4 linked regions of the Arabidopsis thaliana genome follow. The protein of the gene in region 1 binds, or shares a complex with, the protein of each later gene. Each region holds a gene or a part of one and is shown in the gene's direction. Other genes may lie near its edges.

The links.
Region 2: SR45 (region 1) and SCL33 share a complex: the UniProt entries of both Arabidopsis thaliana proteins name them as parts of the spliceosome.
Region 3: SR45 (region 1) and ATU2AF65A share a complex: the UniProt entries of both Arabidopsis thaliana proteins name them as parts of the spliceosome.
Region 4: SR45 (region 1) and RSZ22a share a complex: the UniProt entries of both Arabidopsis thaliana proteins name them as parts of the spliceosome.

What each region holds. Positions count from the first base shown.
Region 1 is NC_003070.9:5,675,219-5,683,097, reverse strand, and holds SR45 (arginine/serine-rich 45), read left to right. Parts: upstream 1-4,245; 5' UTR 4,246-4,411; coding exon 4,412-4,611; intron 4,612-4,733; coding exon 4,734-4,805; intron 4,806-4,888; coding exon 4,889-4,971; intron 4,972-5,159; coding exon 5,160-5,206; intron 5,207-5,292; coding exon 5,293-5,373; intron 5,374-5,463; coding exon 5,464-5,632; intron 5,633-5,721; coding exon 5,722-5,944; intron 5,945-6,015; coding exon 6,016-6,081; intron 6,082-6,220; coding exon 6,221-6,370; intron 6,371-6,602; coding exon 6,603-6,669; intron 6,670-6,778; coding exon 6,779-6,816; coding exon of another isoform or gene 6,817-6,820; exon of another isoform or gene 6,821-6,911; coding exon of another isoform or gene 6,912-6,921; exon of another isoform or gene 6,922-7,091; coding exon 7,092-7,173; 3' UTR 7,174-7,250; downstream 7,251-7,879. Other genes in the region: AT1G16630 (uncharacterized protein), read left to right, coding at 1-886. UniProt on the Arabidopsis thaliana protein: Involved in 5' and 3' splicing site selection of introns, and may bridge the 5' and 3' components of the spliceosome. Isoform 1 is required during flower petal development and isoform 2 is involved in root growth.
Region 2 is NC_003070.9:20,628,347-20,635,969, forward strand, and holds SCL33 (SC35-like splicing factor 33), read left to right. Parts: upstream 1-1,723; 5' UTR 1,724-1,789; exon of another isoform or gene 1,790-2,022; intron 2,023-2,309; 5' UTR 2,310-2,329; coding exon 2,330-2,472; intron 2,473-2,695; coding exon 2,696-2,773; exon of another isoform or gene 2,774-3,340; coding exon 3,341-3,376; exon of another isoform or gene 3,377-3,538; coding exon 3,539-3,709; intron 3,710-3,801; coding exon of another isoform or gene 3,802-3,804; coding exon 3,805-3,933; intron 3,934-4,006; coding exon 4,007-4,349; 3' UTR 4,350-4,627; downstream 4,628-7,623. Other genes in the region: TAF7 (TBP-associated factor 7), read right to left, coding at 1-158, 305-424, 522-655, 1,030-1,144; AAE18 (acyl-activating enzyme 18), read left to right, coding at 5,025-5,293, 5,383-5,512, 5,595-5,845, 5,937-6,138, 6,220-6,260, 6,356-6,484, 6,559-6,635, 6,714-6,934 and 3 more. UniProt on the Arabidopsis thaliana protein: Involved in intron recognition and spliceosome assembly. Binds to multiple 5'-GAAG-3' repeats found in its third intron, suggesting autoregulation of alternative splicing. May be necessary for accurate splicing of the 3' region of introns.
Region 3 is NC_003075.7:17,292,542-17,301,020, reverse strand, and holds ATU2AF65A (U2 snRNP auxilliary factor, large subunit, splicing factor), read left to right. Parts: upstream 1-3,292; 5' UTR 3,293-3,411; coding exon 3,412-3,525; intron 3,526-3,706; coding exon 3,707-3,993; intron 3,994-4,092; coding exon 4,093-4,191; intron 4,192-4,287; coding exon 4,288-4,361; intron 4,362-4,794; coding exon 4,795-4,871; intron 4,872-4,943; coding exon 4,944-4,991; intron 4,992-5,076; coding exon 5,077-5,136; intron 5,137-5,229; coding exon 5,230-5,290; intron 5,291-5,375; coding exon 5,376-5,488; intron 5,489-5,608; coding exon 5,609-6,055; intron 6,056-6,181; coding exon 6,182-6,317; coding exon of another isoform or gene 6,318-6,590; coding exon 6,591-6,658; intron 6,659-6,744; coding exon 6,745-6,882; 3' UTR 6,883-7,074; downstream 7,075-8,479. Other genes in the region: AT4G36700 (RmlC-like cupins superfamily protein), read left to right, coding at 684-1,008, 1,094-1,272, 1,358-1,438, 1,595-2,578; AT4G36680 (Tetratricopeptide repeat (TPR)-like superfamily protein), read left to right, coding at 7,304-8,479. UniProt on the Arabidopsis thaliana protein: Necessary for the splicing of pre-mRNA.
Region 4 is NC_003071.7:10,446,316-10,452,563, forward strand, and holds RSZ22a (RNA recognition motif and CCHC-type zinc finger domains containing protein), read left to right. Parts: upstream 1-3,315; 5' UTR 3,316-3,388; intron 3,389-3,510; 5' UTR 3,511-3,521; coding exon 3,522-3,610; intron 3,611-3,699; coding exon 3,700-3,788; intron 3,789-3,883; coding exon 3,884-4,133; intron 4,134-4,225; coding exon 4,226-4,351; intron 4,352-4,508; coding exon 4,509-4,545; 3' UTR 4,546-4,869; downstream 4,870-6,248. Other genes in the region: AT2G24600 (Ankyrin repeat family protein), read right to left, coding at 6,115-6,248. UniProt on the Arabidopsis thaliana protein: Probably involved in intron recognition and spliceosome assembly.

The sequences.
Region 1 (7,879 bases):
TGAAGAAGGACATGGTGGCCAAGAAACTGATGTTGTTGAAGGGCAGGAAGAATATGAAGAAAATGACCAGAATAACATGGAAGAAGCTGAATCCGACGCACAACTGCTTGACGATGTGCAGTCTGCTGCAATCAGTAGTAACCAGCAAGAACAAACCGGAGTAGCCAATGTTGAAACTGTACAAGAAGAAGAAGGTGTTGGGGAAATTGCTGGAGGTAGCCTCAGTGTTTCAGAAGAAGCTACAGATGTTGAACATGACGGTAATGAAGTAGAAGAAGAAGAGAGTGGGTTTGGTGAAGTTGTTAATGATGCAGGTTCGGAGGACATTTTGTTGAGTGGCCAGAAGAAAGTGTTAGTCTTGTTTTCGACTATGATGGTTATACTTGCAGCAGTAGCAGCTGGTTTCCTATTAGCCAAGAAGAAGACAAAACCTGTGATGCTGCAACATGAAGATGGCGAACCAACAGCAATCTCTGCAACTAAAGTTGTCGAGCATGTGCCAGTAGAGAATCTGATCAGAGAAAGGCTTTCTTCATTGAATTTCAAGGAAGAAGAAGAAGAAGTTGGTGATGACAGAAAAAGAGAGGTATCATCATTCCCTTCTGAGATGAGTTTCAGCTTCAGTAAGAACAAACCATTACACAGCTGCAGCAACAAGAAAGATGATCTTAAAGAACATCAAAGCGGAGGAGGAGGCAAGAAGAGTAATGATAGCGGTGAATCCATGGCTTCCTCTGCATCAGAGTACTCCATAGGTTCTGTTTCATATGGAAGTTTCACAACATATGAGAAGATACAAAAGAGAAGTGGTCACGAAGAGAAAGAGATGATAACACCTGTGAGACGTTCAAGCAGGATCAGGAACCATCAACATTCTGGACAATGAGTTAGAATTAGCTTTTGACTTTATGATCTACTGATTTGTAGGAAGGCTTTTCCATCTCACTGAAGCTTAATTAGTATGTTGCTTTCTTAATTAGTAGGTTTGATTCTCTTCTTTAAAGTTTCTGGCTTTACTATTTGTTTAAGACATTGTACCCCAACCTTGTGGCCTAGTTTTAATAATATTGTTCATGTTATCTGAATCCTCTTCTTTGTATCTTGCAAAAACGATGGACAATTTTCAAACACCATGATTCATGATTGTAAAAGGTTTTGCAAGAATAGGACCAAATGGCGTTGGAAGTGTTTTATGATGATAAATCAGATTAGTTTATATAGATGTAGAAGTGTCAATTGGGCTGTCCAAAGCCCATTGGTCATGTCCACTTGGACCATTTTTTTCATGGGTTTTATTGGTTGGTCTTTAATGGACAATGGTCTAAAAATTTGTCCAAGACCATTAAAGACCATTGTCCAATGGTCAGCCCATGGCCAGCCCATACAATGATGTTTATATACAATGCATTTTCACACAATCTCGTCAAAAGCTCTATTTATAAAACCATAACATCAACATGAAATCAAACATGCATGTACCTGTTCTTCCCAGTCTTGTAATCAACCGTGACAACTCAAACACGCATCTAAGACTCTCTATATGCACCTACAAGTAAAGAAAAAAGCCTACAATGGCTACATGGAGAATGATTTAACAGAGAAACCCATTTCAATACTACTCCAACATCTAGAAATTGGAAACCAGAAGTGGCCATCTTCAATAAGCTTAGGTAAAACAATAAGCTTAAACAACATTTCCACAATGTAATCAATCACAAATGATTATAAGTAAGAGACAAAATCCAGAATCAATTCCAAACCAAAATCTGTCATCCAAGTTGCAACCTTAGACCGGATACCATCACAACCTATAACAATCTGTCAAAGACATACATCATCAAATCAGCCATGTACTGAGAATAATAAACACATAACCATAGGCTCAGAGCTTAAGAGAACAACCATGTACTTGTTTCTTCCCAGTCTTGAAACGTTCATGCAAGGGTGGTGTTTGTGTCCTCTTGACCTTGGATCTCATCAGTTTCTTCAATAAGAAAAACCGAGCTATTAATCTAAAAGCTGCAGTCCAAAAGCCATATAAGTTTACTATTATAAACGAGTTCAAGATGTGAATATTACCAACTTCTTGAAATCCACGAAACCAGTTTCTAGTACATAGGAGGGCTTGCACATTAGTAGGTAAAAGGCAGCTTCTATATTTGTTAAGCACACGACTACCTATACTAAAAGCTGATTCCGATGCCACGGTAGTGATCGGAATGCTTAAGATATCACATGCCATCGATGACAATTCTTTAAAACGCGAGACATTGTTTTTCCAATATGCAATAACATCCATATCTCTAAAAGAGACCATATCTAACACAGGCTCTTCCAAGTACATATCTAATGGTGATTTTCCAGTTCCATTTCTTTCAGAAAAGTAAGAGTAAAACCCCTGAAATATGACCAACAAAACAAAATTCTCACTAAGTATAAGAATGCATTTTCAGAAGCATTATGCTTTAAAATGCTTTGCATAGTATCATTTGCAGAAGCATTATCTACAGTTAAAGTAAAAACTTTCTTCTCAATTCCCCAATCTTTCAACAGCTCACTAAGCTTCATTGCTATAGCTACTCCAGAATGTGGAGGCGGGAAAGCACAGAAAGATAAGATCTTCGTTTTCAGAACACCATCAACATCTACATAATGAGCTGTTAAGCAAATATAACTTTCAACAGTTAAAGCTCTCCACAAATCTGTTGTTAAGCATATTCTACCCGGGATTATAGCTAACTTTTCCTTAAGCTTAATTTTCTCTCTTTCATAAATCTTGTAGACATCAGAAGCTGCAGTATTTCTGCTCCAAAATTCTATATAAGGGTTAGCATATGTAAAGGCTTCTCTAATTCTTTCATATTCGACAAACGAATATGGAAGATTATGTTGAACTAAAGCCACTGCAATCATTTCTCTAAAGACCATCATATCCACCTTTCTGCTAATTCTAGGTGTACTTCCAGGAGTCTTCTCACAAGATCTCATATGACGATTCATGGTATTAGTACCATTTCGTCTCAGATTCAAGTGATAAGTCTGCTCACAATATTTGCATGTAACCTCAGTTTTCCCATTAGGATATTTCTGTCCTCTATCGAAGTTTTTCCAGCATGCAGCACGAAATCTACTTACACTACTTTTACCTCTCTCAGCTGTCCCTGAAGAAGCAGTTTCATGAGGTAGTATCTGATCCATTTCTGGATCTTCATGGTCCATTTCTTGATCCTCAAGATTAAAGTTGTCTTCATCAACCAAGTTTTGAGTATCCAATTCCATATTTCTGAAACAAATAAAGACATACACACGTTTAGCAGTGATAAACAAATAAAGCATGAACTTGACTAAATCACTAGCCTTCTGGAATAATTAAGCATGAACTTACAACACAAAGGGTCTCTACATATTGATGTGCTTCAATTCATAATGAAATTCGAAATGGCGAAACATAAACAAAATCTGAAAAGTGCCCATTTGCTAGCTAGCTCTCCTCATATCCAAAATTCACAATTGAACTTTGGACAAACCCACAAGCTAGTAGAACTAACCGGAGTAGGAGTTGAGAGAGAGGTCGAGCTTGGTCGTCGCCGAGAGAGAGCTTTGTCGCCGGGAGAGAGAGCGTCGTTGCCGAAAGAGAGAGAAGAGAAAAAAATTTATGTGTTGAAAAAATTGATGGGCCAACCATAAACCGTGTGGGCTAGCCCATTAAACCCATGGACAAAATTGGTCTTTAGACCATATAGCCCGTTTTCATTACGGGCCGACCATGGACTGTCCATAATGTTGTGGACTGGGCTTAGCCCATGGTCAGATGACCATTTGACACTTCTATATAGATGTATGAATAAACCTTAATGGTTTCGGTGTTATTCAATGACTAGATTCAATCTAAGATACTTTGATTTTGAGATTGCTCTTAAGTTTGTACCAAGGCAACAACAATATCAACAAATTATGGGACAACAAGAGAGCTATAGAAAAATGGTATCTAATTGATCCTAATTGGATGGTGTACACGACCACAGACAATCGATTACAACATTTTATAAGTTGTTGAATTTTTTATGGGAGTTACTAGCTTTTCTGTTTGAATTTTCCTGTAGGATTTGAAGAACTTTTGATTAGTGACACATTCAAATCTGATATGAAAAATGGGAAAGGACACAAATTGAGCTCATTATGGTATTTATACTTTATAAAATGCTTTAAAAAACATATAAATCCCTCAATTTATCAAGCAAATAAAAACCTGCCACGTATCATCTTCGGTTTAATTTGCAGTCCGCGGAAAAAAAAAGGAGACTGGAAAAAAAAAGTCACAGTCTGTCTGTCTGTCTCTCTCCTCTAATCTTTTTTATCCGCTAGGGTTTTGAAGCAAGGTTTCTCGCGATTTTCTCGATATCTCTCGCCCATGGCGAAACCAAGTCGTGGCCGTCGTTCCCCCTCCGTGTCTGGCTCGTCATCTCGTTCCAGTTCCAGATCTCGTTCGGGTTCGAGCCCCTCCAGGTCTATTTCCCGCTCACGCTCCCGTTCTAGATCGCTCTCTTCATCTTCATCTCCTTCGCGAAGCGTCAGTTCTGGGAGTCGCAGTCCTCCACGTCGTGGAAAAAGGTTAGGGTTTCTTTCAATCACTTACCAATTGTTCGAATTGGATTTGTGTAATTTCGCTTTCATTCTTCTTGGTTCGTTCAGCTCGAATTCGAATTGATGTTCTGATGTATCTTCTTGTGTAGTCCTGCTGGACCTGCTAGGCGAGGTCGCTCTCCTCCTCCTCCACCATCTAAAGGAGCATCTTCACCTTCCAAGTAATATCTGACTCGTTCACATAAATATATTCTAGTGTTTATGCTTTCGTCATTACTGACTTTACAATCTTTTATGCTTTCAGGAAAGCTGTTCAAGAATCTCTTGTTCTCCATGTTGATTCTCTTAGCAGGAATGTGAATGAAGCCCATCTCAAAGAAATCTTTGGTATGTTGATTTCTCTTTTCTCTGTTTCTTCTGCTTCTTCTAATCTTACTACATGATAACTGTCTACACATGTCCGCTAATGTCATCAGTAGTGTATACGGCATTACGATCATCACTGGTCTTTTGTTTTCCTTGTGTTGGCTAAATGTTAAGTCTTATAACATGGCTTGGTTTCATGTTATTATTAGGCAACTTTGGTGAAGTTATACATGTCGAAATTGCGATGGATCGAGCTGTAAGTTGCTATTCTCTTTACTCTCTGTTGTTTACTTGCATCACTTGTTGAAATCTGCTCATAATTCCTTTGAATATTATTAACAGGTTAATCTTCCAAGAGGACATGGTTATGTTGAGTTCAAGGCAAGAGCTGATGCTGAGAAAGCTCAGCTCTACATGGATGGTGTATGTCTCTTTCCAATTATGAAATGCACTGTACTTGACATATTGACAGAGAAGATTTATGCATGTTTTTTTTTTGTTCACTGAACACAGGCCCAAATTGATGGAAAGGTTGTTAAAGCAACGTTCACACTACCACCTCGTCAGAAAGTATCTTCACCCCCTAAACCTGTCTCAGCTGCACCAAAAAGAGATGCTCCAAAATCTGATAATGCTGCTGCTGACGCTGAGAAAGATGGTGGTCCCAGGCGCCCAAGAGAGAGTATGTCAAATCCTTATATTTTGGTTATTTATAATTGTTGTAGTATATGCTTTATGTTGTGTTAATTAGTATCATCAATATGTGCTTAGCATCTCCTCAACGGAAAACAGGGCTTTCTCCGAGAAGGCGATCACCTCTACCTAGGAGAGGCTTATCACCTAGAAGGCGATCACCTGATTCTCCCCATCGCCGGAGGCCGGGCTCTCCTATCCGCCGTCGCGGTGATACACCTCCTAGACGTAGGCCAGCATCACCATCTAGAGGCCGTTCTCCATCTTCTCCCCCTCCAAGACGATATAGATCTCCTCCAAGGTTAGTTATGGCACCATCTGTTTTGTCTGGTGTGTTTCAGATTCGATAGCTCACCTTTTATCTGTCAGCAGGGGCTCCCCTAGAAGAATTCGTGGCAGTCCTGTTCGAAGAAGGTCTCCTCTTCCTCTAAGACGAAGGTATGTCTATTTGGTACCTGAATTACACCCTTAGTAATCGAAGTTTAGGAATCACAGCTTTATAGACTATATTACTCAGTAAATTAGACCGGGAAAAATGTGTCAGTTTTATATATGTTTTGTATTCGGCGTGTTTCAGGTCTCCACCTCCAAGGAGACTACGCAGTCCTCCCAGAAGATCTCCAATCCGTAGGCGTAGCCGATCCCCAATTCGTAGGCCTGGTCGCTCTCGTTCAAGTTCCATCTCACCCCGCAAGTATGTTGGAACTCATTTAAACTTTTTTCTGGGGTCTCTCTCGTGGGTTTTATTTTGTTACAGATGCATAGCTAAGACTGATTCATAACAAGTTTTTAAGTCTTTCATAATTCATGAGTATACCCCAAGATCCTACATTGTCTTATCCTTTTACCTAGGTTTCTGACATACCAGCTCCTAGAGACGTTGATACCCAATATGACTAAGTTATATAGATCCGTCTGGGGTTTGTTCATGAATTAATTTTGTCTTTAACTGTAAGCAGGGGACGAGGTCCAGCTGGGAGACGTGGGAGGTCATCTTCTTACTCTAGTTCACCAAGTCCCAGAAGGGTAAGGGCTTCTTGCAGATCCCTTTTTAGCTATAAAATTTTTGATGCCTTGCGAGTTATATGTCTTGACTCTTGACTTTCTATCATTTGTGCATTATTAAACCTTACAGATTCCTAGGAAGATTTCAAGGAGCCGCAGTCCTAAGAGGTAAACACTTTCTGTCTTAACACTAATCCTCGTCTTAAACTGGAAACACTTTATAGTCTGTAGAATGCATTAATTGAAGAAGTTCCAATGTTAAGTTATGTATAGTAAAGTTAAGGGTTACCCCAATTCCTGATAAAAGACATAGCATAAACATCTGGGACCTATACTTTCTTGGTGAGTTTGGTGATGAAACAGAGAAAAATAGAATTGTTGTGTAGAAATTTTTTGCGTTGAAGTCTAATAAAAGAAAATGGGTTGTTGTTGGGTATGTTTAGGCCACTGAGAGGAAAAAGAAGCAGCAGTAACAGCAGCAGCAGCAGTTCACCGCCACCACCACCTCCACCTCGTAAAACTTAAAGGTGATAAAAATTAAAAAAAAAAAAAAAAAAACTTGAGTCTTGATGTAGCTCTCTTTCTCCATCTTTATCGTTATCATCTGTCTCAGCCTCTTTTCTTAGAACAGATAAAATGTTTACCAGTGACCAAATGAGAGTTGTGGTTTTTGTAGTGTTTGGATGTTTAATCTTCTTTTGTGGATCTCCTCATTAGATGCAACGATAATGACTTGGTTCTTTTAGCTGGTTGTAATTCCCTAATATATTCAGTCTTGTTGAAGAATGGCTGGCTCCTTCACCCTTTTCTTATTATTTTAGTTAAAAGAGAAAGAAATCCATACAAAGACTGGTGATCCAAATACACAAGAAATTGGTTTTTTGTTTCATTCAGAGAAATAAATAATTATAATTTAAGGGCTCCTAAGATGCACAACAACAATTTTGCATCAAACCATGCATCTTAATGAGAGTGCACAAACTTTTATTTAAAACGAAAAATAGAGTTTTCCTCAACTTCACACAGTACATACCACTCAAAGAAAATAAATATACATACCACTCTGCAAGTGCCCATATGGGGAAGATGTTTCTGTAGGTAACATAGTTTAGAAAACAGTTCTTCATGAACACTCCTGTCATTTCCTGCACAACAGAGCAACAACTCTGTTTTTATAATCTAATAAATACACACACCATTCTCTGATCCTGTATGTATTGAATCTTTGGAA
Region 2 (7,623 bases), about 15 Mb from region 1:
CTACACCAAAAAAAGTTCAAATAAATGAAGTTACTAAATCCAAGGAGCAAATATAGACACATCATGTGTCGAAAATAGAAAGAAAAGCTTACATTTTCTACCGTTCCGCCACTCAATATATTCAACAAGTCTCTCTCAACCCGCTGTACAAGCTCCGGCTGCAACATTTTGGCAAATCAATATGTTAACTTAATAGAAAGAACTTTGGAGTTCCAAAAGATACGTTTCACTACAGACTTTCAATCATAATCACAAGTATTAGTGAAACAATGTTGATGGATAGATAACAACAAATGAAAATTACATTAAGGTCAGGCTCTCGACGAAATCTCCTCTTTCGAGCATCCTTCATTGGAGGAGTTAGACCATGTCTGTATTCAACTGTATTAGGCGCAGGATCACCAGGCTCCCTAACCATGATCATCTGTGTGCCAAATCAAAGCATCCATATTGAGTTTTAGTCCAAAATTACAGAAGTTAACGCATATAAGTAAAAGATGAATCAAGTAACTTGATTTTACCTGCCCAATATCAGCAGTTTTGACTAATGCACAATCATCATAAGTTTTAAAAGACTCAACAACTGCAGGGAGATCAAGCAGAGAAGCCGGGAACTCGTCGTTTCCAATCATAAACGTCCCGTTTCTCCCATCCTCTGCAAATTCAGTTCACACAAACATTACGTATCAAGTTTGCTCCAGAGACAATATGCAAATGGATTTCTAGACAAACTATAATGATGCAACAAGAATGTCTTTTGGCTTCTTTGACAAAACAGACAATTCACAACATTAAGCTGATCCAGGAGACACAAATCACAAGCTTTGATCCTTAATCAGATTCAAGAATGTCTTTTGGGCAAACCAACATTCAAGAACTCATCACGTGACACAAGGAGCAATCCCCGAAACGATCCAGACACTAATTTCATTGATTGACGACTAAAGGACATAAATTTAAGAAAAAGGATGAAACTTTAACCCAGATGTAATGTGCCAAAAAAGAGAGAAACCCTTTAAAAATTGGTACCTGAAAAAAACAAATCCAAAGGGATTTCGTCGGAAGTAGAAGCATCCTCGCTTAAAAGCCGATCAATTCGTTCTGAAACAGACGGTGGAACCCTAAGTATGAACTGTTCTTCCATTGTAGATACCAACAGCTTGACTTGAATTCTTCTTCTTAATCAATCCAGAAACGTGAATTCGCGAACGCAGATCGTATCGAATACGTATACTTCGGTCTGTTGATGTCGTAAGTCGAAAAGAGACGAGAATCTATTGAACTGAAACACGAATTCTTTGTTATGTTAGAGAGAGAGAGAGAGAGAGAGAGAGAGAGAGACATTATAAGATAAACCTTCTAGAAGTATCCTTTTAACAATTTATTATTTTATTTCCCTCCCTAAAGGTTTCAAGATTTATGTTTTGACCAAAATAATTATAAAAGGTACAAACAGAACCCAACAATTGGTGAAAAATCACCAATTTGCTATTTAATTCTATTGAATTTTACATTTTTAGTTCCTCTTAGATAATTGATCTCACTAAGTATAAATGTATAATGATAATAAAAAGGAAGATAATTTAATTACCAGAAATTGGAATGGAGCATCTATCAAATAGAAAACTTTAAGGGGATTTTAATACTTTAAAATAATTTTGAGGGGGTTAAATGTAAAACGTAAATAATATAAAGAAACCCTAATAAATAAGTCGTTCATTGATCAATCTTCTCCAATTCTTGCAGCATCACTTCTCCGTCGTTCCTCACCACCGAGATTCGTTCACCGGTAAGTCTTATCCCTGATATTTTGCTCTTCTTCCCAACCGTATATACCCGTATCTTCTTCTTTCTCTGTCGAATAAACTTGGCTTTTCCGACTTCGATTCCTTCAATTGTAAACAACTTCGTTGCCCGTACAACTTTTTGAGTCCGGTGAAAGATCCCGTGACGGAAAAAACTGTAGATCAGGCAATTATTATGTCTATACATCGATATAAAGGATTGAATCGTTCATCTTAAGTAAGTTTGACGAAAGTTGTGATCTTTTGTGCCTATTCACATATAACGTTTCTTAGCTCCTATCTTTTGAAATTGAGCTGATTCGATCTCTACCTGAATTGCATGTGATCTTATTTTGATATAATTTACTATTCAATTAGAAAATATGATCTTTCTAGATTGATTGCTTCTTTAAAGTTCTCTTAGACGCTGGTGTTATAGCTCTTGTGTTTGTGGTCTCTTCTCTCTTAAATATCCAACCTCTTTTGGTGTATTTTCTAATCTAGTTTGTGTTGACTGACTGATAGAGAGATTGAAGCTTGACTCAATGAGGGGAAGGAGCTACACTCCGTCACCACCTAGGGGTTATGGGAGGAGGGGTCGAAGCCCAAGCCCTAGAGGCCGATATGGAGGTCGTAGCAGGGACCTCCCGACCAGTCTTTTGGTTCGCAATCTACGCCATGATTGCAGGTACATACTTTTGACTTCTCTATTATTTTCTTCAGCCATTGTGGATGATGTTATTGTTTGCACACCTCTTAAGCAAGAAGACTTGACACCTCTTAGCATATTTTGGCATGATGTTCTCTTATCTTTACTGTAAAGGTTTTCAAAAAGTTGACGTCAATGTATCTTCATTTCTTGGCTTTTAGCAAATTGTAATTCTCTTCTTACTCCTTGTCCTTTTCTTCAGGCAAGAAGATCTCAGGAAGTCGTTTGAGCAGTTTGGTCCTGTCAAGGACATTTACCTGCCAAGGGATTATTATACCGGGTGAGCATGTTTTGTAAATAGGACAACCAACACTTGATTTTTACTTATGTTCTGATTAGAAAATATCCCTATTTTCACATCTTCTTTCTTGATTTGTTTACTACGTTTATCTGCCTTTCCTTTTTCTTTCGGTCATCTCTTTGTGTCTTCTCATGGATACTAGGGCCTTATGAGAATCTTCTTAAAAACTGATTTCATAAATTAAATTTAGGCTCCATATTTTTCAGATAGTAATTTTCTGTGACATGACAATAGACAGTGAGCATACTTGTGGTCTTAAACCACTAGTTTTCGGTGTCGTTAGGTGGATTAGTCGTTTAGAATTTAGTACCTGGTGAGACCTCATAGTTTTTAGTCGCTTAAGGAAAAGGATACATGATGATATGTTCCATGTCTGAACACACTATGAGTGAGTTAATTGAAGTTGTTGAGGTTTAGCAGTGAATCTAAAGAATTGAAGACATCAAAGAAGTAATTAGAGTTCTTATGAAGATGTTCTATATGGTAGTGAAGAATTGAAGTGAAGTTGAGTTTGTATTCTATGTGAAGATGAATCAAGTCTTCAAGAAGTCATCTTTGTACTGACACTTGCAAGGCTAGCAGGCAAGTGCTTGCTTTTTTCATGTTTACTGATATCTTCGGTTGCAGGGGATCATATCGCCAGTTGTCCTTCAACAGGATTGTTATAAAGTGGTACATCTTCCTCGCCATTTTGTATGTTTGGTTTCTAGTCTGAGATCTTTTTGTTCTACATTTTGAATGCAGAGATCCGCGAGGGTTTGGGTTCGTTCAATTTATGGACCCTGCTGATGCTGCTGATGCAAAACATCACATGGATGGTTATCTTCTTCTTGGCCGTGAGTTGACTGTCGTGTTTGCAGAAGAGAACAGAAAGAAACCGACTGAAATGAGAGCAAGGGAGCGTGGTGGAGGAAGGTGCATGAATCTTTCTCTTTTTGAACTATTTTGGTTATTGTCAAATATCAAAAACTCAATATTTAACATCTTTTTTTGGTTCGTTGGAGCAGCAGATTTCGGGATAGAAGACGTACTCCACCTCGTTACTACTCTCGCTCTCGTTCTCCTCCCCCTCGACGTGGTAGATCTCGGTCACGGAGCGGTGACTATTATTCTCCTCCCCCTAGAAGACATCACCCAAGGTTTCTATATGTTTCTGTCTAAGCTCAATTACAAACTTCTCCACGCTTGTATGCTCACTGTCTATTGTCACAGATCTATCTCGCCCAGGGAAGAGCGATATGATGGGAGGAGGTCATACTCGCGCTCACCTGCCTCTGATGGCTCAAGGGGTCGCAGTTTAACTCCAGTCAGAGGTAAGAGCCGCAGCTTAAGCCCCAGCCCTAGAAGAAGCATAAGCCGTAGCCCAAGAAGAAGCAGGAGCCCAAGCCCAAAAAGAAATAGGAGCGTTAGCCCAAGAAGAAGCATAAGCCGTAGCCCTAGAAGAAGCAGGAGTCCGAGGAGAAGCAGAAGAAGCTACACTCCTGAACCCGCCAGAAGCAGGAGCCAAAGCCCGCATGGGGGCCAGTATGACGAAGACCGTTCACCAAGCCAGTGATTGATTCGTCACTCTTTTGCTAGTCTTCTCTAGATTATGGTTGTGTCTTGTACCCTTATCCTAAGACGAAGTTAAGATGATACTGAAAAGCCGAGAACTTTATGTTTTGGGTTTTTATGTTTTGATCTATGGAACATGTGGGGAACATGGTACTGTTATTATAAGTTCTTTAAGATATAATCTGAGGTTATTATGATAGTTGCAACATTGGTCAACCACACAAGGAGCTCATGGAGGAAGCTTTTTGGATTACTTGCGAATATATCAGCTCTAGTTTTTGTTATCCGTCGTATCAACCAAAGCATTTTCAAGAGATCCATTAATCACATCAAAAGCCGCGTTTTGGATATGTTGCACTGGGCGGAAGACGGATGGCTTCGCCGTCGTTTTGAACATGTCATCGTTTTGGTAATACTAACGTTAATTGCTATTCTGAATAGAATTGGTTTCTTTGATGAATCAAGAACTCAGCAGAGCCAAAGAGTATGGTCCGATGTTAACTGAGGAGTTGGGTTTTCTTCATAAAGATGAGACCTTTTCTGTTTTAAAAGCAAAACAAATCGCCATTTGGAGCATTCTCGTCCACCGAATCTACCTACCAGTCTACCACCATTGACAAGCTTTAAACTTTAAACTATAAAAAAGGCAACAACTTGTATAGAGAGATAGAAAGAGATGTGGAAGAGCATAGGCGAATTGAGTTGCGATGATTATGTCAAAGCTGGGTTGACTTTGGAAGACGCCAAGGAATTTGACAAATTGGTGAGCGATGTGATTACAAAGGCTATAGAGACTGATCCAAGAGATCAATGGAAAGCTTTGGTAGATGAGAGTGTGCTTAAGCCATGGCATCCACATCCTCTGCATCAGCTTCTCTACTACTCTGTCTATTCAAACTGGGACTCCTCTGTTCATGGCCCTCCTCTCTATTGGTTTCCTTCTCTGTGCGTTTCATGAACTTGTTCGAAATTCTGATATTTATCTGTAAAATACAGCTGATTGTCTGTTCAATTTCTTCTTTGTGTGTGTTTAGATCTCAGTCAAAGTCCACCAATCTGGGGAAGCTGATGGAATATCACGGACCAAGACTTCTTGGTCCTTCATACAAGAACCCTCTTGAAAGTTTTGAACTTTTCCGGAGATTCTCAGTTGAACACCCTGAAGTAAGCATCAACGTTGAATGTTGTCGAGCAAAAGAATCTTTGTCGCAGCTCTGGTTTGGTCTAATGTAAACATCATTTTCAGGTTTATTGGTCATTTGTTATCGATGAGCTTTCACTTGTGTTTCACACTCCTCCGAGGTGTATCCTTAACAAATCAAAACCTGAAGGGACTTGGCTCCCTGATGCAGTTCTTAATATCGCTGAGTGTTGTCTGATGCCTTCAAGCCATCCCAAAAAGGAGGATGATAGTGTGGCTGTTGTATGGCGTAATGAAGGGTTTGATGACTCTCCAGTCAATAGAATGACCATTAAAGAGCTTCGGGAGCAAGTAATGTATGTAAGATGAAACTCTTTATCAGTCATTCTGTTGTGTGATCTCATTATTAAGCTTCCAGTGGTGGTCTTGATACATTTACTTGAAAAGGTTGGTGGCAAATGCGATAAGTGGAAGTTTTGAAAAGGGTGACACAATTGCAATCGATATGCCAATGACAGTTGATGCAGTGATTATATATCTCGCAATCATATTAGCTGGTTGCATTGTTGTCTCCATCGCAGACAGCTTTGCAGCTAAAGAAATAGCAACAAGGTTGAAAATTTCGAAGGCAAAAGGCATATTCACTCAGGTTTGTGACACACCCTGACTCACATCTTTTCGCCTTGTATCTATCCCGTACCATGTGAAATATCTCTTATTGCGTTTTCAGGATTATATACTCAGAGGAGGTCGAAGGTTTCCTTTATACAGGTGACAAAATTGATCTTTCTGTGGCTGATTTTGCAACTCAATGAATGAACAACATAATAATTATATCTAAACTTGTCTCTTTTTTTTTCCTGTAGTCGAGTGGTTGAAGCTGCTCCATCTAAGGTCATTGTCCTCCCGGCTTCAGGTACTGAATTGCATGTTCAGTTAAGAGAACAGGATGTATCATGGATGGATTTTCTTTCCAACGCCAAACCCCATTCTAGGTAAATTGTTTACATCTCTACACTTGCAATCACTCAGAGAGTGTAGATAAGACATGCTCCAATTTTGCTTGCAGTGGAGAGAACTACTATCGTCCGATTTATCTACCTGTAGAGTCTGTGATTAACATTCTCTTCTCATCTGGAACTACAGGTAAAAATAATGTGATCATCAAATTGTAATAGATTTTGTTTAGATGCATCTAATGATTAGTTCTTTTTTCTTAACCAGGTGAGCCGAAAGCTATACCGTGGACACAACTATCACCAATTCGTAGTGCTTGTGATGGATGGGCTCATCTTGATGTCCAAGTGGGTCACACATATTGTTGGCCTACAAATCTTGGATGGGTAATGGGACCAACTCTTATGTTCTCCTGCTTTCTAACTGGTGCAACTCTCGCTCTCTACAGCGGGTCTCCCCTTGGCCGCGGTTTTGGAAAGTTTGTTCAGGCAAGACATCTCCATTGTTGTCTCCTTTTCAATTTTAGTAAGGTTCGATAAATCCTCACTTATTTGTGCTTGATATTACTTCAGGATGCTGGAGTTACAGTTCTTGGTACTGTTCCAAGCTTGGTGAAAACTTGGAAGAGAACAAACTGTATGGAAGGGCTTAATTGGACAAAGATTAAGTAAGGAGCAACAAACCTTGTTTTGTTTTCGGGTTTATACGAGAAATTTTAACTTAGAAGCTGTTGTGTTTTGTTAGGTTTTTCGCCACTACAGGAGAAGCTTCCAATGTTGACGATGTTCTCTGGCTTTCTTCTAAAGCTGATTACAAACCTGTGATCGAATGCTGTGGAGGCACGGAACTTGCTTCGTCATACATCATAGGAAGCCCTCTTCAACCGCAGGCTTTTGGAGCGTTTAGCACACCATCCATGACAACTAGAATCATCATCTTCGATGAAAATGGCGTCCCATATGTGACAAACTGAAACTTTAGACATTTGGAGTATTTTCTTAGAATATCCAGAGATTGATGTAGACTGGTTTTTGCAGCCGGATGATCAACCATGTACTGGAGAAGTCGGTTTGTTCCCCCAGCACCTTGGGGCCACGGATAGACTTCTGAATGCAAATCACGACGAGGTTTACTTCAAGGGAATGCCCATGTATAAGGAAACAGTGAGTAGTTTTAG
Region 3 (8,479 bases), on another chromosome or scaffold:
GGTACATATTCTTGCATCTATACAGATTCCAATCACCCAAAGATATGATTAGAATTATCCGTTCTCAGGCATACAAGTGCAGTTTGGTTAGGCACTCATACATACATACTAACATACACTAGCCCAACCACTATGGACAATTGGGCCTGTCAAATTTTCAACCTTGATGTACAGTACGTGTCCGTGATCATTATCTGCCCAGATGAAATTGAAATGTGAAAGATTCTCGAGTTTTCATTTCCAAAACACATGTTAATAATGCTAATACATAGTATTGGAAAATAAGCATATCCACTAATACCGATATGCATGCATATCTCAATATCGCATCGATGAAAACTATGAACTGCCATCACTTGGAACCGTGTCATTTAACTCGACTGTCGCGCGATATAAACTATGCATCTTTGTTGTTCATACCTTCACAACGTTATCATCAACAGTTATGATCACTTATCAGCCAGATTTTTCAAACTCGAGCTTTGTATTTTAGCGGCAATTTGTTTTTGGTAACAAAGGAACCCATGCACTTGTCAGCGTAAAGCAAACACGTGTCCAAACCATTAAGCCACGTGGTCATTGTCCGACTCTACAACCTCTCTCTGTTTCTTCTCTCATTCCTTTATATGATACTACGATTTAATACGCTTTGCATTGAATAACAAAAAAAAAAACAGAGCACAATGACTAGATTTGCGGTATTGCCACTCTCTGTTCTTCTTCTCGTTCTCTTGTTCCTCTGCACTGAGTCGTTGGCTAAGTCGGAGGAGTCTGAAGAATACGACGTCGCTGTGCCTTCATGTTGCGGGTTTTCGTCTCCTCTTCTGATTAAGAAAGATCAATGGAAACCAATCTTCGAGACGAAGTTTGGACAGATCTCAACCGTTCAAATCGGCAATGGATGCGGTGGAATGGGACCTTACAAGATACATTCCATAACGTTGGAGCCAAACACAATTTTGCTCCCTCTTCTTCTTCATTCCGACATGGTCTTCTTCGTTGACTCTGGTACATAATAAACTGTTTAAATTTCTTCGGTTTGGTTTACAGATCAGTTTCGGTTTAGGTCAAAATTGGATTGTGATTTGTATAGGAAGTGGGATTCTGAATTGGGTTGACGAGGAAGCGAAGAGTACCGAGATCAGACTAGGAGACGTTTACAGGCTACGTCCCGGTTCGGTTTTCTACTTACAGAGCAAACCGGTGGATATCTTCCTTGGAACCAAACTTAAGCTTTACGCAATCTTCTCCAACAACGATGAGTGTTTACATGTATAAGTTTGATATGATTCTTTCTTTTTTCACTTTCTTGACATCTTTTTCTTCTTCTTATTGTATCTGTATTCCATGGATGCAGGATCCTTGCTTTGGTGCCTATTCGAGTATCACAGATCTAATGTTTGGTTTTGATGAGACAATTCTCCAGTCAGCTTTTGGGGTATGTCTTAATCTGCCGATGAATAAGTTACGAATTGTCTATATCTTACTTGGGAAGCAAGATAGGAATTGTGTATATCTTACTTCCCAACTTACTCTAGTAGAGGATATTTTGGGTTGTATTAAGTGATATATTAAATTCAATGGTTTTAATTAGGTTCCTGAGGGGATTATAGAGCTGATGAGGAACCGTACGAAGCCACCATTGATCGTGAGTGAGACGCTTTGCACACCAGGTGTGGCCAACACTTGGCAGCTCCAACCGCGATTACTAAAGCTCTTTGCTGGAAGTGCAGACTTGGTGGATAACAAGAAGAAGAAAGAGAAGAAAGAGAAGAAGGAGAAGGTGAAGAAAGCGAAGACATTCAATGTTTTCGAATCTGAACCGGATTTCGAGAGCCCCTACGGTCGTACTATAACGATTAACAGGAAGGATCTGAAAGTTTTAAAAGGCTCAATGGTTGGAGTTTCCATGGTGAATCTCACTCAAGGATCGATGATGGGACCGCACTGGAATCCATGGGCTTGCGAGATTTCGATTGTATTGAAAGGAGCAGGAATGGTTAGGGTTCTTAGGTCTTCGATATCATCAAACACATCATCAGAGTGTAAGAACGTGAGGTTTAAAGTAGAGGAAGGAGATATTTTCGCAGTTCCACGGTTACATCCAATGGCTCAAATGTCTTTCAACAATGACTCGTTAGTGTTCGTTGGGTTTACTACTTCAGCTAAGAATAACGAGCCGCAGTTCTTAGCCGGGGAGGACTCGGCTTTGCGGATGCTTGACCGGCAAGTATTGGCTGCATCGCTTAATGTGAGTAGTGTGACGATTGATGGATTGTTGGGAGCTCAGAAGGAAGCTGTTATCTTGGAATGTCATTCTTGTGCGGAAGGAGAGATAGAGAAGCTTAAGGTGGAGATAGAGAGGAAGAAAATAGATGATGAGAGGAAGAGGAGACATGATGAAAGGAAGAAAGAAGAAGAAGAGGCGAAGAGAGAAGAGGAAGAGAGGAGGAAACGTGAAGAAGAAGAAGAGAAGAAGCGGTGGCCACCTCAACAACCACCACAAGAAGAAGAACTTAGGGAACGGCAACTACCGATGGAGAAAGAATGGGAAATGGAAGGTGAAGAGGAGAGTTAAGCCGGAGGAGTAAAAGAGAAGGCCAACGTACGTCAAGAGTGTGTTTGGTTTGTTGTTAGTGGTTAGAACTTTGGTTCTGACCTCTCTTGTAACTTTTTTTTTCCATAGTCTTGTTTATTTGTTAATGTACTTTTGCATTGTTTTTGTTGTTGCCATGTTTAAAGTTGTATTGTGTTTGTATAATGTTTTGTTTTGTTTAAATCTTTGTAGATGGTAAATGAGAAATAAGTAAATATTTCCGAGAGACTGTTGAGTGACGACGTTACTTCTTGTTATTGATAACTCTGTGGTTTATTATACACTTGTAGTAGTAGTCGTACTTGCTAACTTATGTCATTTGGTTTACAATTGTATAATGTATTTGTAACCCTCTTGCTATAGCTTCGGCATATTAAAGTTTTGAATGGTGATAACGGAGGAGTCGTAGATAATGCAATCAACTTCCCATGCTCTGTTCTCTTGTTGTTGCAAGAGATATTGGAATAAAAGGCAAATTTATCTCAAACACAGATTGGGCCATATCTTGAAAAGGCAAATTCATAAAACTCTCAAAAAGTAGATTTATCCCAAACACGAATTGGGCCAACTATTGGACCGGATGCGCTGAATAATGGGCCTTATCAGATTTGGACCGGCCTGTTTTTATATGACATTTACAAAAATACCCTCACAGGAGGTCCCGTGTTGGCTATAAAAAAATAGAATAATCCGTAATTGCCCTAAAATAGTTTGGTTTCTGCATCCACCCCTTTCTTCGAATCTCGACGGCTGAAACAGATTCTAAATTTATCTCCGGTGAGAAAGAGATAGAGAGCGTTGATTCCGGCGAAAAGATGTCTGAATTCGAAGATCACGAGGGAAACGGTACGGTTGCTGACGCGATTTACGACGAAGAGAATGGTGGCCGCGACGGCGAAATCGAGGATCAATTGGACTCGAAACCCAAGGTAATTTCCCCCCTGATTATCTTCAATCTCCTAGCTTATAGTTGGAGTTTCGAATCTATATTTCCTAGCAATTGGATTGAATTGAGAATCGAATTATGAGATGATTAGTTTTAAAGCTGCTTCTGTTTCATTGATTCTTAAACTGTAATTGATGAGGTTTTGGGTGTGTTTACATGTGCAGAGAGAATCGCGTGACCATGAAAGAGAGACATCAAGAAGTAAAGATAGAGAAAGAGAGAAGGGTCGTGATAAGGACAGAGAAAGAGACTCTGAAGTCTCTCGCCGAAGCAGGGATAGAGATGGAGAGAAAAGCAAGGAGAGGAGTAGAGACAAAGACAGAGATCATCGTGAGCGTCATCACAGAAGTAGTCGTCACAGGGATCATAGCAGGGAGCGTGGTGAAAGAAGAGAACGTGGTGGTAGGGATGATGATGATTACCGTCGAAGCCGTGATCGTGACCATGATAGGTAGACTGTTCTTGAATTGAATTATACATTTTCAATTTAGATTGAATCCTTTTTGATTTTATGGAAGGTACTGATTTGGCTTATTTTTTATTCTTCTAGGCGGAGAGATGATAGAGGAGGAAGACGCAGTCGTCGATCTCGATCTCGTTCAAAGGATAGATCTGAGCGCAGAACAAGGTCACGATCTCCATCGAAAAGGTAGCATTTTTTTCTCATTGGATTACTTACTCTTCTATGAAGTAATTGCTTCAATCTAAGAAAGTTTCTAACCTCACTCAATATATGTTGTTGCAGTAAGCAGCGAGTCAGTGGATTCGATATGGCACCTCCAGCCTCTGCAATGTTAGCTGCTGGTGCTGCTGTTACAGGTATATCTCTTTAATTTAGCACCTTCTCATTAGCATAATGTAGAATTCATACCTAATACACGTACTGGGATTGATAAAATCTGTTTCTCCTGAATAACTACAAAAACATAGGCTGTTTTCTTTCTTTTTTTACTTGGGACATAACGCTAGAACTGAGAGCTTTTGGTTGTTTGGTGGTCTTTGTGTCTCTTGTTTGCTTTTCTGTTTTGGTAAGGCAACACTGGGTGTGGGCTGGTTAGCTCTTATATACAAGGAAGAATTACTGCGTATGGGTATTGCTCATCCTCAGTACATATCACTGGTTTTGTTAGTCTTGCAAAAATTTTCCATGCAGACTTAAACCTCTTGATGTCACCAATACATTTCCAGGGATGGTAAACTAGGTTTTCTCATATGTAATTTTCTTATGTATTAACCTGTTTTTCTTTTGTAGGCCAAGTTCCTCCCGCTCCACCAACTCTTCCTGGGGCTGGAATGTTTCCCAACATGTTTCCATTGCCGACTGGACAGGTCTGTGGTCTTTCCCTTTTAATATTTTCTTAATTGATGTCTTTCTTGAACTAAGTCGTCTATGTCCTACAGTCATTTGGGGGACTCTCTATGATGCCAATTCAGGCTATGACACAGCAGGTTAGATTTTATTTATCATGGATATACGCAAGATACTATGTATTTCTCTGTTCTAATTTAATCCTTATTTACTTTGTGTCTTCAGGCAACTAGACATGCTCGCAGAGTCTATGTCGGTGGGCTTTCCCCTACGGCAAATGAACAGGTTATTATCCACTTTCTTTTTTCATTTTCTCCCACTGAAATATGTTTCAGCAAATAATGATACTAACATTGATTTATTATTTTGTATTTGCAGTCTGTGGCTACATTTTTTAGTCAAGTTATGGCTGCTGTTGGTGGAAACACTGCTGGTCCAGGTACATAATCCTGGTGCAGATGCTAGAGTGTCTATTATGATACTTGGATTAATCTTTTTTTATAAATCTTTTTTCTTACTCGCAGGTGATGCAGTTGTTAATGTCTACATAAACCACGAGAAGAAGTTTGCTTTTGTGGAGATGCGATCTGTTGAAGAGGCAAGTAACGCTATGTCTTTGGATGGGATTATATTTGAGGTATGTTTTAATGTTTACCGCACTACCAAATATTTGGTTGAGTTTTAGTACTGGCATTTCTTTGGTATATAGGTTACCCAACTGAATGCTTATCTTTCTTTTTCTTTTTTTCTTTTCCAGGGAGCTCCGGTGAAGGTGAGGAGACCTAGTGACTATAACCCATCTCTAGCTGCGACTCTTGGTCCAAGCCAGCCCAGTCCCCATCTAAACTTAGCTGCTGTTGGTCTGACTCCAGGTGCTTCTGGTGGGCTTGAGGGACCAGATCGTATTTTTGTTGGTGGACTTCCATATTACTTCACGGAATCACAAGTGAGGGAGTTGTTGGAGTCCTTTGGAGGCCTCAAGGGCTTTGATCTTGTAAAAGATCGAGAAACAGGGAACTCTAAAGGATATGCCTTTTGTGTGTACCAAGATCTTTCTGTTACAGATATCGCGTGCGCTGCCCTAAATGGTATCAAGATGGGAGATAAGACTCTTACAGTGAGACGTGCCAACCAGGGAACAATGCTACAAAAGCCTGAACAAGAGAACGTATTATTGCATGCACAGCAGCAAATAGCTTTTCAGGTAATTTTTTTTCTTCTTAATAATATTGGAAGAAAACAAAATGAGCTTGCAAAACGTGTTGAGACCTAACTTGAATATTTCCATTTATAAGATTAAAAGACTGATTGATGGTTTTATCTTTTGCAGAGGGTTATGTTACAGCCTGGTGCAGTGGCAACCACTGTGGTGTGTCTGACTCAAGTTGTTACTGAGGATGAGCTTAGAGATGATGAGGAGTATGGAGATATAATGGAAGACATGAGACAGGAAGGCGGAAAGTTTGGTAAGAGACCTCTTAATTGCGCAATATGGTCTATTTTGAAATATAAGATTAAAAGCATATTGATCTGTCTCTCTGTTTTCTTGGTTGTGCTGTTTTACAGCCTTTTGCTATAAAGAATCAGCCCTAACATACACAGACAGGAGACTGCATAAACCTCCTAATCTATTTATCACCAATGGCCACTATTTCTTAAAAGAAAAAACTGACTTGTTTTTGTCTGTGTTTTCTTGTCTTGTATTCGAAATGTTTTGTTCTTTAACTCTTAAAATGCAGGTGCTTTGACCAATGTTGTGATTCCGCGTCCAAGCCCCAATGGTGAGCCAGTGGCAGGCCTTGGCAAGGTAAACTTATCTCTCTCTCTTTCTCTCTACTTCTTGTATATTTCTATTTAGTCGTAATCTGACTGTCTGATATATTTAATGTGCAGGTGTTTTTGAAGTATGCCGATACAGATGGCTCGACTAGGGCAAGATTCGGGATGAATGGTAGGAAATTTGGAGGAAATGAAGTCGTTGCAGTGTATTACCCTGAAGACAAGTTTGAACAGGGTGATTATGGAGCCTGATCACTTCTTTGTTTGCTTTCTATTACTTAAAAGTTAAGTACTTTGCTTCAGTTTCAAGACCCTTTTGCGTGATTGTAAGAGTATGAGATTATCGACACGTTGCTTATTATAACGTTTTTATCTCATATCTTTGGTCTATTTCTTAAATATTTATCTCAAAAATTATTCACAGAATAACATCATGAGTCCCTCGTAAAACATCATTCGTCTCTCGTAAATGTGACATATGTTCTAAATCAACACAAGAAGTTGAGTACTCTCTCTATTGAAATATTCAAGTAGTTTGGTTCTCTTCTGATAGAAGAAAAAAGAAAGAAAAAGAAGCAAACTTGTAAAACCCAAAAATCTCTGTTAAGCCACTAAAACCCTAAAGGCGTCTCCTTTTCTCGCCACCACTCTCCACAATACCCATTTCTGCAAAATGGCTTCTTCTCGTATTTCTCTCCGCCTTGTTCGCCGATTTGCCTCAGCCGCCGCTGACGGTACGACCACCGCTCCCTCTTCAGGCAAAATCTCTGTCTCCAAAGCTAAGTCCACTCTCCGGAAAGAACACGATCCCGACAAAGCTCTTAAGATCTACGCCAATGTCTCCGATCACTCAGCCTCTCCTGTTTCATCTCGCTACGCCCAAGAGCTCACTGTTCGTCGCCTCGCCAAGTGTCGCCGTTTCTCAGACATCGAAACCCTAATTGAATCCCACAAAAATGATCCCAAAATCAAAGAAGAACCTTTCTACTCTACGCTTATCAGATCTTACGGCCAAGCCTCTATGTTTAATCACGCCATGAGAACCTTCGAGCAGATGGATCAATACGGCACACCCAGATCAGCTGTTTCCTTCAACGCCTTGCTCAACGCTTGTCTCCATTCCAAGAATTTCGATAAAGTCCCCCAACTGTTCGACGAAATTCCTCAGAGGTACAATAAGATCATCCCTGACAAAATCTCTTACGGTATATTGATTAAGTCATACTGTGACTCTGGTACCCCTGAAAAAGCCATTGAGATTATGAGACAGATGCAAGGTAAAGGCATGGAAGTTACTACCATTGCTTTCACCACCATTTTGAGTTCATTGTATAAGAAAGGTGAGCTCGAGGTAGCTGATAACTTGTGGAATGAGATGGTGAAGAAAGGCTGTGAATTGGATAATGCAGCGTATAATGTTCGTATAATGAGTGCTCAAAAGGAAAGCCCTGAAAGAGTTAAGGAGTTGATTGAAGAAATGAGTAGTATGGGATTGAAACCTGATACGATTAGCTATAACTATCTTATGACTGCGTATTGTGAGAGAGGAATGTTGGACGAAGCTAAGAAAGTGTATGAAGGACTTGAAGGTAACAACTGTGCTCCCAACGCAGCTACTTTTAGGACATTGATATTTCATCTTTGTTATAGCCGATTGTACGAGCAAGGCTATGCGATCTTCAAGAAGAGTGTGTATATGCACAAGATTCCAGATTTCAACACTTTGAAGCATTTGGTTGTGGGATTGGTGGAGAACAAGAAAAGAGATGACGCTAAAGGGTTGATTAGAACGGTGAAGAAGAAATTCCCTCCGAGTTTCTTGAATGCGTGGAAGAAACTCGAGGAGGAA
Region 4 (6,248 bases), on another chromosome or scaffold:
CACGAGATTCACAACATTGTGTCACGCTTTCTTCCCCTTTCTTACTGAACTCTTAAATATTTTAACGTACGTCGTTATTTACTAGGCGGAAAAACAAAACAAAAATTATTGTATTATTTAACACTTAAATAAATAAAAATATTTATATTATTAAGTTATTTGTAAGAAAAATCCGCGAAATTAACATCTCATTATTTATAATTTATCATATTTTGCAAGTAAACCTCAAAATTCTGGCTATCTACCAAATAAACCTAATTTTGGTTATCTACCACCAAATAAGCCTAAATAATAAATATTTCTCTAGCACAAAAACTTTGGGACTTGGTTGTAAATGATTTTATATGTTTTTTAACCTTTGTAACTATGGAATATTCGATTTCGTAAGTTTAGTGGGCAACTTTGTACTAAATAAGGCACGATATTACTTTCACAACGTAAACTATTTCGGAATGGCCTATAGTGGTAATGATGGCCTATTTTTCGGCCAAAACTGTTTCAACATAAACTAGTGGTAACGTAAACTATTTCCCTCTTCCTTCCCGTTCGCTGAACAAAAACGTTTTTGTTAATTTAATAGTTTAATAACGTTAATAACATTATCTCTCAATCTCCTATAATGTGAATACACAAATAATATCGTTAATCTCTATGATTTTTGGTAAGTAAATAGTCTCTCAAGCGAATTTTAGATGTGTAATTTCGCAAAATTTAGTTGGTTTTCTAATGCTATATATTAATCTCTAAAGATATTTGTTGGAACTGTGAAGTTGCATGGGAGTTTCAACAAAATGCAAAGTTTTTTCGATCCAAAATTTACCTTCTAAATGTGTGATTCTGTTCCAAATTGGTAAACACGAGTCGTTTTTTTTTCTGACTAGAAAAAAGTTACAACGGATGTATATGTGACATTTCAAATTTCATGATCTTAAAAAATGGAAAGTAAATTAGAGGGATGATAGCAATATTAAAAGGATGACATAGCGATCGTGAATTTGTGATTGTGAAGTTCTTGACCAATTGTATTCTTGGGGAATATGGTGGAATGAATATAGAGTCACTTCGCTCTTTTCTTAGTGCTCACCATTCGTTTTTGTTCGAAAAGACAAAATCCCTTATCCACTGGTTATTAGTTTATTAACAAAAATCTTACATTTTATATGAATGGGACACTCTTAAAAGAATATTTAGCAATTTGTAGGAACAACTTGTACATTCTAAAATCGATATTTAGCTTATAATTTTAGAATCACTCTTCTTTTTCTTTTTGAACAATAGAATCACTCTTTTTTGTCCATATTTTAGGATTTAATTAGAATAACATCGAAACTAATTTCTATGATTTATGTAATGTCATTTGCAAGATGTCTTCACCAAACATAGAAGCAGTGTTGATTACCAAAAAAAAAACATAGAAGCAGTGTTTCATGTCTTAAAACCTATAAAAAAGAGAAAAATTATAAAATAGAGCACGTAATAATTTATAAATTTTATTAATTATTTCTCAAAATAAGTCGTAATTGAGTGCCGTTTTAAAAATCTTGAGGTGAGCTTCTCTCCATCTGAATAGAAAGAAGAGAAAAGGAATAATTCTTGTCGTCATAGTTCAAACTTCAAGTGGACTCTCGACGACATTTCAATAATACACACATACTTATCTAATCCTGTCACTGAATGGAGTCTTGGTTCAAGAAAGGTGCGCACTAAATAGTAAATAAAAAACTACAAAATTATATCATTGCTCTTGGGAATGATTGGATGTTATAGGCTAATCCCAAATTAATATCTGGACATAATATATTGTCACGTCCGGTTTTTGTTAAGTGACTGATTTAAAAGTGAAACTCATAAGTGATAAAGCACAAAATTACGATTTAGCCTCTATTGTCTTTTCCAAACAAACCATTCTAAACTAGAACCATGGTTCAAGTGGTAAAAGTTTTTATTTGAATATTGTGATTTTGGGAGATATAGGCATGGGCAAAAAAACCCAATAATTTTAATAACTGACCAAACTGAACCGTATCAAAACCAAAGTTCTTAAAATAATCGAATGGTTAGTTGTTAATGAGAGAAAGTTACACTCGAAAATTAGAAAAATTATCAAGTAATATACTTATAAATGATTAGTTTCATTGCCAATTGGTTTTAAGTTAGAAACTCATCTTAAACCCAAATATGTTATTAGTAAAATAAGGGTGATTCAAACCATTTCTTCTCTAGAAAAAGCATTAGAAGAGCTAAAGATGCACTCAGTTAATAATGCTAGGATGATGCTAGGATTATTAGCATTAGAAGAGCTAAAAGGTTGTATCTTAGCCTCTTTAATAATGCTAGGATGATGTGATGGAAATATGTTGGTAGCAGAAGGTGAACTTCGAGGCATGAGTGGTTACCATGCCGTTGTCATGGTCATAATTATGTTCATTTGTACACACCTACTAGCATTACGCAAATAAATAATAGTGTCAAAATTGGTTTTTATGGTTATATCTTTGTTTGCCTATCGACTATATATCTAGTGATCGATTCCGATGAATAAAGTAGAGGATTGGTTAGGCCTACAAATAGGCTGATGCATCTATTGTCTAATTTGTGATGCTTAATGAGTGAATTATTATTATAAATAAAAATTTGAACGAAATAGTTTTCTTCACTTAGTTCAAAAACTAGAGGTAATAGTCTCTCTCTTTTTTTTTTTTTTTTTTTTTGGGTCAAATAGTCTCCCTCTTAAGTTTTATTTTCCTCTCTCATCCTCATCATCTGAGATGTATGGGTTAGTATATACATAAAAGTATGAGCATAAAAAGAGCTTTCTTCATTTACATAAAATATTCAGTGGACATAGAAAAGAGCTTTCTTTATATTTTTTAATTAAAATTTGAATTTACGACGAGATTTCAATTTGGGGTTTAGAAACAGTGTTTTTCTCAGGATCTCTACTTGTGAAGTTTTCGCTTGTGTTTTCTTAGTGTTTTCTCCTTGTGTTGTGTTGTAGTTTTTGGGGATTTATGTAGATTTCAATTTCTTTTTTTTTTGTATTTTCGGTAAGTTTTATCAACTTTTTTTGAAAATCGTATAAATACTTAAGAGTGATACTCATTTTTTTTTTGAATTCCTTTTATATGCTGAGAGCTTTTTTTTAATTTTGAATTATTATTATTTAACATCTGACATTTTAATTTTATAATCAGTAATTGCATGAATATGAGGCATTATTGTTACTGTACCATATCGCATGCGGCCCATTTTAAGCCCAAATCAAGGAATAACTTTTGAAGGACATTTAAAGTTGACCCACAAAAAATAACTTTCATCTTCAATTTCGAATCGATAACCCTAATTTCTCACAGACGAGCAAGAGAAAGAGCCAAAGCCGTTTCTTCAGGTAAATCCCGATCTCCGTTGTCACTTCTTTACTCCAGATTCATTCGTAGTTTCGATCTATAGATTTCATCTTTTTGAATTCATCGCTTTCAAAGTTTTTGAATTGAAGCCTTTTGTTGATAGGTAACTTGAGGATGTCGCGTGTGTATGTTGGTAATTTGGATCCGCGAGTTACTGAACGTGAACTCGAGGATGAGTTTCGTTCCTTTGGTGTGATCAGGAGGTACATAAATTGACTCCTTTTTGGTTTTTAGTTGATGTAAAGTGTGTGAATTTGCATTTATCCTCATTGTTCTTTTGGTGTCTGTGCAGTGTCTGGGTTGCTAGAAGACCTCCTGGTTACGCTTTTCTTGATTTTGAAGATTCAAGAGATGCCCGTGACGCCATCCGTGAAGTAGATGGTATTCGTTGGTCTTCTATTCTACTGGTCTGGTTTTATGAGTTGTTATGAGTTGTTATGAGTTTGATATATATATGATCTATATTGTTATGGTAGGCAAGAATGGATGGAGGGTAGAGCAGTCTCATAACCGTGGTGGTGGTGGAGGTCGTGGTGGTGGTCGTGGAGGAGGTGATGGTGGTCGTGGACGTGGTGGTTCTGATTTGAAGTGCTATGAGTGTGGTGAGTCTGGTCACTTTGCACGTGAATGTCGTTCTCGTGGTGGTTCTGGTGGTAGGCGTCGTAGCCGCAGCCGTAGTCGCAGTCCTCCTAGATACAGAAAGAGTCCTACCTATGGAGGACGAAGGTTATTGTCCCTATTCTTTCTGATTGACGATTTGCAACTAAAAGAAATTGGTCTACCTCATTGATTTATTACCTTGTCTTTTGGTTTCACAGAAGTTACAGCCCTCGTGCTAGATCTCCTCCTCCTCCAAGACGTCGTAGTCCTTCTCCTCGTGGTCGCAACTACAGTAGGTCACCACCACCTTATAGAGCACGTGACGAGGTGCCATATGCTAATGGGTAAAACTCCCCTTGCTCTTGAGTCTACTGTATCTCAATCAATATAAGAAATTGAAACTGAACTAGTGGCATTATCGTCCCAAAGACTTTTTTGTTAGACGTTGTGTTAAAAAACAGAGTCCATGTGGCTGATAAGTTTTTGTATTTGTTTATGCAGAAATGGTCTGAAAGATGTGCGCAGAAGCCGGAGCTGAGTGTTACTTGTCTAGATAGCAAATTATGGGATCAGGAGACAACTATTTGCTTGTGACGTCAAGAGGAGAGGAAATTAGTATCTGTGAATTTCACTAAGAGAATATGTTTTAGCTGTGTGGTGGATTGGATATGCTTGCTACTTTTGAATTGCTGGAAAGCTTCTTATTGCGTTTGGATTATGAAGCCATAGTTGTATCTGCCGTTAGGTAAAGTACTTTTAAATATCTACCCATGTTCTTAAAAGACATAAACAAAAGCTCTGCTAAAAACCTATGCATTTTCTTTGTTTTTTGTTCTATCATCTCGAGGTTTCTTCAGGTTTCTACTGCTTCATTGCTTATCTGCTTTTGGCTTCTTGGTTAATTTGGTCGGCCTGCTATGGGATCTTCATAGTAGTTTACCACAACTTCTGCTTCATTGCTTATCTGCTTCTCGCTTCTTCGTTATTTTGATCTGCCTACTTTGGGATCTTCATAATTGTTTACCACTACTTCTGCTTCATTGCTTAACTGCTTCTGGCTTCTTGGTTATTTTGATCGGCCTGCTTTGGGATCTTTATGTTAGTTCACATCTACTCTGCTTCTCATCTAGATGCTCTTATGTTTGAAAACTTCATCGGCTCTGATGATTGCTGGTCTTGCTTTTCTTGAACTTAAAATGGCCGAGGAGTTGCACTTGCTACTCTGGCAGGTATTTAATACCTTTCAGGCAGGCTTCGAAGAAACTTGTCTTACGGTGTAGAATAGTTTAGAGTATGTAGAACGTCTCTGCTTTGTTTGAGGTGGGCACTTGGATAAACACTTATCGCCATCTGCAATAGTCATTCCTTTGGTTTCATCACGTTTGGTACATGGACTAATCTTTAAACGAGAGATTTTTCTGCTCATTGGTTTCAATTTCATCATGTTTGATTCAAGGATCATTCTGTCTTTATTGAAGGCTTTTTGGCTGCCTCCTCTTCTGATGATGCTTTGGTTTAAAACCCTAGTAAAAGGAGTAGATTTTCATAAGTTTCTTATCTTTGTCCTGTTTTGTTGTGTCCTGAAAATACTTATTTTTTATGAAAAATAATTTACAGATATCCAACTTCATGAGTTTGTTCACTTTTTATATTTAGCAAAACTTTGTTGTCATATGTTTTACTTATCATCATAATCAACTAAACATGATGACGACGATATCTCCTAACAACTAGAATCGAGCAATTTTGTGTTCGTACTTATTCAAGTGACTAGATTTGAAGTTGTTATTTTTGATGAAACATGTACTGAGTATTGATATAAAACATGTAAAACATCATTGACAACATTTTTCATTCTTTTTGGACTTTAAATGATAGAGATAACATAGGTGAGACCAGTTTACACGAAACTCCTTAAGTAGGGATGCATCATACAATGGCAATATAAATCTGCTTCAAGTAAATCTTGTGCCGGTCCCTGTGAGGAGAAGAAGCTCATCAAGAAAATCACTTTAGACACTCAAAACCCATAAGATAGGCTGCAAACACCACGGTAAAAGCTCGAGCACCAGAGAGAGTAGTCTCGTAGAAAATTTACCTTAAAGATTCAATAGGTGAAATAGCCTGACCCTTCTGAGGCGGCCAAGTCTGAGTTGGTCCTTGCTAAGGAAGGCATTTCACCTTCATTTTTTGCAATGGCAGGTATATCTTCTACACGGTTATTTTTGATAAAATAAATAG